Nothobranchius furzeri: one gene and its partners. The protein of the gene in region 1 interacts with the protein of each later gene in a pairwise test. Links are inferred from orthologs where the notes say so. Each region holds a gene or a part of one and is shown in the gene's direction. Other genes may lie near its edges.

Evidence for each region. The genes of interacting proteins can lie anywhere in the genome.
Region 2: the proteins of morn4 (region 1) and septin6 interact in binary tests that used the Homo sapiens proteins (3 or more experiments, as listed by UniProt). The two-hybrid records come from large-scale screens. The link is inferred for Nothobranchius furzeri from reciprocal best matches to the Homo sapiens genes MORN4 and SEPTIN6.
Region 3: the proteins of morn4 (region 1) and hmmr interact in binary tests that used the Homo sapiens proteins (3 or more experiments, as listed by UniProt). The two-hybrid records come from large-scale screens. The link is inferred for Nothobranchius furzeri from reciprocal best matches to the Homo sapiens genes MORN4 and HMMR.

Annotation. Positions count from the first base shown.
Region 1 is NC_091752.1:21,507,651-21,511,869, reverse strand, and holds morn4 (MORN repeat-containing protein 4), read left to right. Parts: upstream 1-1,403; 5' UTR 1,404-1,536; intron 1,537-2,150; 5' UTR 2,151-2,157; coding exon 2,158-2,224; intron 2,225-3,175; coding exon 3,176-3,290; intron 3,291-3,373; coding exon 3,374-3,483; intron 3,484-3,561; coding exon of another isoform or gene 3,562-3,580; coding exon 3,581-3,729; 3' UTR 3,730-3,882; downstream 3,883-4,219. Other genes in the region: wu:fc17b08 (titin homolog), read right to left, coding at 1-67. UniProt on the Homo sapiens protein: Plays a role in promoting axonal degeneration following neuronal injury by toxic insult or trauma.
Region 2 is NC_091741.1:85,739,222-85,742,741, forward strand, and holds part of septin6 (septin-6), read left to right. Parts: intron 1-609; coding exon 610-771; intron 772-1,161; coding exon 1,162-1,258; intron 1,259-3,017; coding exon 3,018-3,186; intron 3,187-3,305; coding exon 3,306-3,438; intron 3,439-3,520. UniProt on the Homo sapiens protein: Filament-forming cytoskeletal GTPase. Required for normal organization of the actin cytoskeleton. Involved in cytokinesis. May play a role in HCV RNA replication.
Region 3 is NC_091742.1:50,692,475-50,694,803, reverse strand, and holds part of hmmr (hyaluronan mediated motility receptor), read left to right. Parts: intron 1-1,682; coding exon 1,683-1,799; intron 1,800-1,895; coding exon 1,896-2,096; intron 2,097-2,175; coding exon 2,176-2,329. UniProt on the Homo sapiens protein: Receptor for hyaluronic acid (HA). Involved in cell motility. When hyaluronan binds to HMMR, the phosphorylation of a number of proteins, including PTK2/FAK1 occurs.

The DNA of each region.
Region 1 (4,219 bases):
AGTCAAGTTCCTGCCGAAAGCCGCGCCTGTCGATTGTGCATTGCTGCTTTTTGCACGGACTCGCCATTTTCTATTTGTCCGCTGGCTGATGCTCGGGCACGAGAAGAGGAAGCGCTCGGTCACGTGGACGCGCGCGCGCCTTCGTCAAGGGGAGGAAACGGTTCCAGAGGGAGTGAGCTGTTCATTACAACACAGAGCTCAGATTAAATAATCTGATTATATTAGTTTATTGATTAATCGTTTTGTACATAAATAGTACAAAACTGCAATTTTACTGTTCTTTGGTTTAAAGGGGAACACAAAAAATCTAATTATTCATCATCAATTATCTTTCACATTTTGATCATGTAACCATACCCACATAATTTGTATATTTATTTCATTGATCACTGCTTTCAAACTGGAATATTTATTTATTCATATATATTTTTTTAGATTTGTGGAGATTTCCATTCGTTTGTGTGTGTAGATAAAAAAATAATTAATGGATTATAGTAAAAAGAAAAAGAATCATACCACAATATTTCCCTGGGTTAGCATTGTGGTTTTAATTTAAAGAATAGGGATGTAAGAAAATGTTTGTATGATATACATATAAATGTTGTGTCCAAATCTAAAATAGGAGATAGAGTGAAATGACACTATAAAGTATTTTAAAAAGATGATAATGAATAAATATTTCAAAGCAATTTATCAAAATTGCATGCAAACATTTACTGTTTTGTGTTATGTAGTTCAAACTCCAACAGCTAGGTGGCAGCAGTTTTACCACCTTCACTCTGATGACAAGACCTTGCGGTAACACCGGGATAAAACGTGTCTGAAGTGTCTGAGCCAGTGTTTCCCAATCATCTAGTCTTGAAAATTGCAAATATTGTTTGTTTATTTAGCATCGCAATATATCGTATCCCCCCATTGTTAGAAATAGTCTATAACTAGATTCTTGCCAGTACAACTCTCTGTTAAATAGGAGAAAAAAATAACGATTTATTACATTTCAGATTTAAAACTACTCGCTTATAAATGAACACAGTTTTGCTTTTTATCTCAGTCCAGTACAAATTTAAAATAATTTTAGTCAACAAATTTATTTTTATATGACAGGACCATTATTTAAACCATAATGATGAAAATGGGTTAAATTAGTGAGTATAAGAGTAAAAAAAATAAAGATCTTTTTCAGAAATAAATCTCTCAGCTGCTGTATGCCATTAAAGAGCTTCTTCTTAAATGTTGCTTTAAATGTAACTCGGAATTCCTGGTTTTAGTTTCTCACAAACGTCATAGATATTCAGATGCCATCATTTAAAACGCTTTTAAGTTCTTAATAATGAAAATGAAGAATAGTTTTAGTATTTTAATACAAACAGTGTTAGTTCACGCGGTTTTATCCTACAGTCACTGGGTTGTTAGTCAACTTTACGGGCAGCACTTAAACGCACCATCCGTTTTTCAGCCGGTGTTTTTATTTATTTACGCCCGTCCGTTCCCGTACGGTTGCCTCCATGCTCCAGGGACGAAAACCCTTACGTGCAGGTAAATTACACCAATATAGGTGCTTTTATTTTCCTCTGATTTTCGTTTAATTTCAGGTTTTTGGCTTAAATTGGCTTATCGGTCAAAGCGAAGAGCCTCTTCAGAGCTTTAGTATGGATCGAAAACATATTGACAGCTAATTAGGCGTGTATTTGTAATCATGTGTGGATTTCTCAGCCTTTTTGTGATGAATTATTAATTTGCTAGCGGCCGCCTGGGTAAAATGACAGCTGTCTGCCATCTGTAACGTGGCCATTTGTTTTAAAGGGAGACTCACTAAAACACAATAGGCTGTTTGGAAATGACTGTGCGGAAAGCTTGCGTTTGTCTGCAGTCAAGCTTAAATGCTAACCTTATTAGGTGTCATAATTAATTTTTAGCTGATAATTAATCTGTCACTCATTTCAACTCTAATTTGAAGCAGTCGCTGTCAAACTGCAGATATTTTTTAATTGATTTCAGTTATATGATTTATAACCAATCAATAAATCAATCCCTGTCCATGTTTACATTTATTTTGAAAAGAAGAGTAAAGAGACATGTTGTCAATTGCTCAGAATAGTCAGGTGTATCTAAATACCATGTGTTGTTGCATGCATTTGTCTTGAATACAGGAATACCATGACCCTGACCAGAGGATCTTTCACTTATGCCAGCGGGGAGGAATACCATGGCGAGTGGAAAGAAGGCAAGATGGTTCTGTTCCACAGCTCCGATCCAAACGGAGACATCTGTCTGTGTTGCTCCATGCACGTCAGAGAGGTTTTGTCAGAGTTACAGGATGTGGTGACTGAGAAACGTCTCTTCAGTGTTTGTTAGATTCCTGCCTGCTCCTATCTGAACTGCTCGTTCTTTACATTTACTCCTGATTCTTGGAAATTCAGTTTTCTTCAAATTATAAGTAACAAAATTGTCAGTGAGATGAAAAATGTATTGAAACTTAAAACTGCATAAGTGTGGGCTTAATTATCTATTTAGAATGGAAATATCTAAATGATATTACCTGTGTTACTCTCACATTTACCTGCAGGTGCATTGCAGTTAGCTGCTGCTGGTAACTTAATACGAGCAGAGCCAGATTTAACAGCTCTGCTTTTGTCTAATCCCTTTTGAGCCTGACTTTGGAGTTTGGAACTGTTTAGGAAAGTGTGGCCAGTCCTCAAGGAGCATTTCATTTAATTAAAATACAACAGCATCCTTTATGCTGTGTTTAAATGTGCATTGCAGTTCTAACTCTTCGTGTTTATTTTCCCCTCCCATTTCTCCTTTACCCAGTTTTTGTGTGTCGTGGTGCAGTTTGTTCACTTAAGGTTCAGGTTTAAAATAGAAATCACTGCAAACCTGCAGGATTAGACGGCCGTAATTCCCACTTGCACGGGAGACAGATGGGGCTCCTAGTTCAGTAGTAAATCTTTATCTCATTTGGTTGGAAGGAAGTATTTAAATCCAAGTGTCCAATTTCTTGACACCTGAAGTGGCTCTGCAAAAAAATATGTCATTGTCAGACTCAGAGGCATCACAGTTGAAGCTGGTTGCTCCCTTTATTGAGGCATTTGTATTTAAATGAAGTTAAAATGTGCTCTGATATGATATTCCAGGAATGTAATGGTAATATTCACTAAGATGTGATGCTTTCCAGGTCGGAGGCATGGCCTCGGCCAGCTCAAGTTTCAAGATGGAACCTGCTACACTGGCCAGTTTGAGAATGGACTCTTTCATGGATCTGGTGTGCTGCGTTTTACAGATGGGTCCCGGTTCGTGTGCAAAGAAAGGGTAAACATTTTTGCACTTTGTTAAAAGATGCAAACAACATCCTGGTTTATTTACACCACACTAGGTATGAAGGAGAATTTGCACATGGCAAGTTTCAAGGCACGGGAGTCTTCAGCCGATACGACGGCATGAAATTTGAGGGGGAATTCAAAGACGGGCGCGTTGAGGGATACGGTAAGTCTGTGACCCTCCCCGCTTGGAGCAGCACATCCATCAGAATGTCAGTTTCCTCCATGTGGTTGGTCATGGTAGGATGTGTCTGTACCTGCAGGGCTGTTGACTTTCCCAGACGGAACTCACGGCGCTCCACGGAATGAGGGCTTGTTTCAAAACCACAAGCTGCAGAGGAGGGAGAAGTGTGCAGGTGTGGTGCAGCGTGCGCAGGCTTCAGCTTCCAGTGCTCACAGCCTGGCGACCTGATCGCTTGGACTCTTGAGGGGATGTTAGCTGAGCACCTTCCAGAAGGGCCTTAAAGATGTAAACTCCTCCAGTGCTTCTTACACTTTTTATTGTTTAATATTTTAAAATTCTGCCTCTCCTTTGGTCCACCAAATGCATTTGAACCAAATAACAGCTTTCTGTGTGGATTATTAGAAAGGCACAACAATAAGAAGCACACAGTGAGCAGCAAATTAGGCTTTTATTGTGTAAATATATAAATTAGTGTTCTGGACCTTAAGACTTTAAAATAACAAAGGAGAGCTACTGTGCACCTTGGATTTAGAAGTTTTAAAATTAAATATTTAAAAAAGTTTTAGCCTGTGATTAGATACTTTTTCTGAAAAAAATAAAATAAATAAAACTTCGTAAAGCAGCTTAAAATTCTAGAAATAATTTAGGGATGCTCCGATCCAGTCACGTGATCGGAAATCGGGCCCAATCACATGGTTTTAAAAGGATTGGTATTGGG
Region 2 (3,520 bases), on another chromosome or scaffold:
ACACATCCTGCATCTACTCTCTTCCATCTCCTCCCATCTGGCAGACGCTATAGATCGCTGTACACAAAAACTACCAGACACAAGAACAGTTTCTTTCCTTCAGCTATTTCTCTCCTGAATCTGTAGATTATTTTACCATCTTTTTATTATAGTTTTTAATACTTATTCAGTATGCTTATGGATATGTGTGTGTGTGCATGTGTGCGTGCGTGCGTGTGTGTGTGTGTGTGCGTGCATGTATATATGTATATATGTGTGTTTGTAAATGAACATGAGTGTGGGTATACATGTTCTTATGTGTTGTTAGGTATGTTTATTCTCATTTATTGTGGTTGTTGTATGTTTTAGAGAGCGAACATCTACCGAAGCCAAATTCCTTGTAAATGTAATTTTACTTGGCCAATAAATCTGAAATCTAACCATTTAGACCTGAAAAATTACCCAATCAAAATGCTTTTTGTGGCGTGTTTGTTTTAATTTGTGATGATAAATCCCCTCCTCTCTAAATCCTGGACCACAGATGCGGAGGCAGTGCTTTTGAAAGCAAGTGAGCTAAACGGCGGTCTAAATTTAGCTGGATGTCTAAAAAAATGCTTTCCTTGCCACCAGGTCAACATTGTCCCGATTGTCGCCAAGTCAGACGCCATCTCCAAGAGTGAACTGGCCAAGTTCAAAATCAAAATCACCAGTGAGCTGGTCAGCAATGGAGTCCAGATCTACCAGTTCCCCACTGATGATGAATCCGTGGCGGAAATCAACTCCACCATGAACGTAAGGCTCAGACCGAACCTGTCTGCATGATAAACAACATGCTACCTAGTACTTTAAACGGCGTCATGTTGTGTGAATCAAAATATTCCTTGTCATGTTTACTGATGTGGTCGAGTGGCAGTCTCAATCTCGCTGCAGGAAGTCAGCAGTGTGGGAACAGGCTTTGTTTCCACATTTAGTTGTTTATTAACCTGGACTTGGGGAAACGCCTTCACTAACGGTCCTAAATCAGTAGCTGTGGCCTTGTTTGGTTCAGTTACAGCAAATTAGTCGAATTGATTTGTTGTTATTCTTTTTGTTCAATCTGTTTGGTGTCTTTTATCTTCATACTCAGCTGTAGACGTTAAGGAGAAGCTTCAGATTCACACTTAAAGCTCTCTCCTTCCACAGAGCCATTTGCCCTTTGCTGTGGTGGGGAGCACAGAGGAAGTGAAGATCGGGAATAAGATGGTGAAGGCCCGGCAGTACCCCTGGGGGACGGTGCAGGGTGAGCCTACATTACATCCTGCACAGGAAATGAGACTAGTCCCTTTCTTGACAGCAGCTGAAGTTTCCTTCATGCTTCTCTTGAGCTCTTGGGGGATCAAGCTGATAACCTTTCCTGTGACCGTATTCAGCTCCAGCTTCTTCCTCACCGTTATTTTGGATTACTGAGCGGCAGCAGCAGCTCTATGCTTTGGCAACCTGTGATGTCACTAATGGAGTTTCTATTGATCTGCTGTGGCTTTTCTGTCTATTTCACATCAGCTGCAGTATGAATCTTTTTATTTGTCAGAGGTGATTAGTTAAACTTAGTTCATCTGCTTTTAAACTTTTTGGCACTTTAGGCCCCATCTGTGAGGAAAGACGAGATTTATTTTTTCTGGTAGGAATAGAACAATGTATCGGGCCACTATTTCCCTTTTTTTACATACTGCAGGGCTTCCCCCAGTGCTTTCTATGCCTGGCGAAACACCAGGGCAAGCGTCCACCCTCCCCTGCAGTCACGAACAACGCAGGGTAGTGAAACAATCCGCGCCCCCCTTCTGTTCTCATGGAAGAGGCACAGTGGCGAAGCGAGCCCCATTCCCATCTGTACCGGGTCGGCCCGGGCCGGGTAGCGTAGGTTGTTTACATATCTGGGTGGCCTGGTATTTTCCCAGGACAACCAAGGCTCATTCTCAGCCCTCTTCTCGAGGGGGTCTGCTTCAGGCCGACCAGGGCCAACACACCCACTGCTGACAGCAAATTCACACCTTCCATTAGAGCAAGCCTCTGATTGGTGGGTAGAATCAGCCCACATGGGCTTAAGACAAGGATGTGTGGAATCAACCGGGCCAGGCTGGGGCCGACTGGGGCTACCCGGCCCGGGCCGACCCGGTACAGATGGGAATGGTCCATGACACCCCCAATCACCACCCCGCTCTCACAGTCCACCAGGCTTAGCAAGTTTTCTGGGGGAAACCTTGTAATAATAATAATAATAATAATAATAATAATACATTTTATTTAAAAGTGCCTTTCAGGACACCCAAGGTCACTTGACAGAAAACACGTGATAAAATACAATAAAACAATAATAAAACCCAAACAAGAAAAAACAAAGAGAGAAACAGTTCAATAAAATCAGAGGTTGTAGGCAGATTGTATTGTATTGGCCTCGGCTAATGTATCTCTTTATTAGAGCTGATTTAGAAACGGGCACATCTGTGGGCAGCCGTGTTGCTGCTGAATTCTACATAAATATATTTGTTCCTGAAAAGCATCTGCTTATTAAAAAATACTCTAATACATTATTGTCAACCGACATTTCTTTTTATTTACCAGTTGTGTATTTTATACTTGGTTAGTTTATTGATTTTTTTTGTTAACTTTGATTAAATGTTTGATTTTGCATAAAATTAAGCTAAATTTAGAGTAAAAAAACTGATTTGCGCAAAAAATGTTGTGGATCCACGGTTAGTGACATTTTTGCAGGCTAATAAGGTAGAAAACGTCTCCCTATTGGCCATGAAAATTGGCAGCATATATTAGCCATCAGCTGGCCATTACTGCTACATATCGGCGTTGGTATCGGCAATAGAACACCCATATCTGTCTATTTCTTTTTTTTTTTAACATGAAGCCTATAGTAAATGCAAAAATGTGTTTAATTTAAAAAATATGAGGTAATATTGTTTGGGTGCTTGTGATGAACCTTGGGTTAAGGTTGGGTCTTTGATTGGAGTCTTTTACTTTAAACTGATTTTTTTCTGTGTTTCTCACAGTGGAAAATGAAAATCACTGTGACTTTGTCAAACTGCGAGAAATGCTCATTAGAGTGAATATGGAGGACCTGCGAGAACAGACCCACACACGCCACTACGAGCTGTACCGTCGCTGCAAGCTCGAAGAGATGGGCTTTAAAGATACGGATCCTGACAGCAAACCTTTCAGGTAGTAGACTCTAGGTGGCGCTTTTTCTGTGCTGCTGGACTTTTATTTTATTTTATTTTTATTCTTCTCCCAGCGTATTTTTATTTATTTTTTTACAACTTGTGTTTATCACGATGCAGCCTGCAGGAGACATACGAGGCAAAGCGGAACGAGTTCATGGGTGAACTACAGAAGAAGGAAGAGGAAATGAGACAAATGTTTGTCCAACGAGTCAAAGAGAAGGAGGCTGAGCTCAAAGAAGCAGAGAAGGAGGTAAAAAAATAAGCGTGATTCTAGTATTTTTGCAAGTGTGTCTGTTCTCTATTTACTCAAAATATCCCCTTCTTGTTGCTGT
Region 3 (2,329 bases), on another chromosome or scaffold:
CCACACTGAGGAGAGGAGGTGAGCGAAGCACACTGAGGGTGAATACTTTTCTACATCAGAGAGGAGAAACCGATGACGGGTCTGTTCATTGTTGACAACGTGGCTGACTCCGATTCTGAAGAGTGCTGTTCACCCTCTGATGAAGATATTCACTCGCCCAGTAAGAAAGTGACGCTGCAGCAGGAACAGAAGGTCTGTGTGCTTCATGAGCGTGAACACGCTCCACACACAACATCCCAAGCTTATTTCACCGTGTTCAGGACATGGTGGGTGTAGAGAGGATGGTAAAAACGCCGCTAATAGTCACAGACGATGCAGTGAAGCTGAAAGTCTCACATAATTGATATGAGTGTTACAGCAATCGCAGCAAAACAGCATTACCAAGGAAATCAGCACGATGTGCTGTTTCTATGAGGCAAAGAGCAAGTTTCCACATGAGAGATGAAAACGGCTCACCAGACGGTCTGTTACGGCCGAAAACCAAAAACGCTCTTTTGGGTCATTTTTGGCCGAAAGTTTCAGTGCATCCCTAACGAGTAGTTACATTTAAACTTTTACTTTTTCATATTTGTAGGAAATGAATGTGAATCTAATTTTAAACATTATCTTAATGAGTCACAACGTTTGTTACAACCCGGCTTGAGGGACGGCAGCAAAAGGAGGTCTGCACACAAGGTTAATGTTTAAGAGTGTATTTTTATTAAAACCCAGCCTCTACAACGCCACACAGGCAAGAGCTCCCAAAGCCTCAACTCCTCATCCTCCTGAGTCCTTCCAAACCGCACATAGAAGCCTGTTATGCTGCGCAGGTGCAGCCGCTCGTACAGGGAAGGGCGTCGGCAGAAGCAGCCAATCAGCTGGTTGCACGGGCACAGCAGCCCCCCAAGAGGATGTGTTCTTGTTTTCTTCAATCGCAGCGGTTGTAACAACATTAAACATTGAAATGAGTCTGGTTCAACTTATAATTATATCATAATGGTTTGCCATATTTGTACAGTCATACATGTGCAAAACTTCACACACTCCCCCTGAATACGTTCAATGTTTGAGGTTGTCTGTTTGCATCAATGAAGGAGAACGCACTATCAGAGGGATGATCGTATGATTAATGAGATTTTAGTCACATTTGAACTAGGGATGCACCGATACCAATGCCAATACAGGTATCGGTAAAAGTTAATCGATACCAGGAACCAATACCAATGCAGTTGCTTGAAAGTGGCTTCACTGTAACTTGTCATTTCTGTTCACCTAATATTTTAGTTTTGTGACCATTTCCATTCATATATTTAACTTTTTATCTACCTCACAGTCTTTTCCTGTTGAAAGCAGAGAAGAAAATTTAAATCTGTATTCCAAATCATTGCATTTTTTTCAGTGGTATTGGTAATCGGTATCGACGAGTACTCGGATCCAAGTATCGGTATCGTATCGGTTTGGGAAAAAGTGATATCGTTGCATCGCTAAATTCAACACAAAAGTTGTTCAGAACATCTTAAAGTAAAATGTTGTTTTAAGAACGAGTTGGAATTCAACAAAAGACTCGAGTCAGAGTCGTAACGCTTCAATTTCTCTAAACAAGTCCTTGTTTCTATCTGATGAGATGATTTAAAAATGTACCCAGGAAACAAGCGAGCCTCCGGTCATGTCTGACCACAGATCGCGTTCTGTTTGCATCTCAGTAGGAGCAGCGACGTGGCCGTCATGAACGAGCTGCATTTGGCTACGCTGAGGGAATTCCAGGAGGCGCATTTCACCTCCCAGAAGAAGATGGAAGATGTTGTCACAGAGCTGGAGAGGTGAGCCCTCCACTGCCGGCGTTTCCTGATGTTTTTCCTGACAGTCGGCGTGGTTCCTGTAAGGTTTAGGCTCACACGGCGTTTCTGACTGTGCAGCACCAAGGAGGCTCTAAAGGGAGCAAAGGAAAAGCGAAGAGACCTGGAAGCGGAGCTGGAGAGCGTGACCCGGCAGCTGAAGGAGGCGATGGACAAAATGGTTGAGCAGAAAGAGGAGGAGGTCAAAAGATTGAGGGAGTGGACAGAGGAGCGGCAGGAGAGGCTGATGATGGAGGAGAAAACCAGGGAGGAGAATACCAGGTAAACTAAAAACTCACTTTCTGTCTGTGATGTAACAATTGCCATCTGCTCCTCTTTTTGAACGTTTCTCTTCTTGTAGAGCGACGCTTGACGCTCAGGCTCGACTCGCTCTGAAAGACGAGGAGATGAAGGCTGCAGAGGCGAGCCACGCGGCTCAAATGGCCCAGCTCCAGGAGGAGCTGCAGGTGCAGACAAAGGAGAAGGAGGAGGTGCTGGGGCGTCTGGAGGAACAG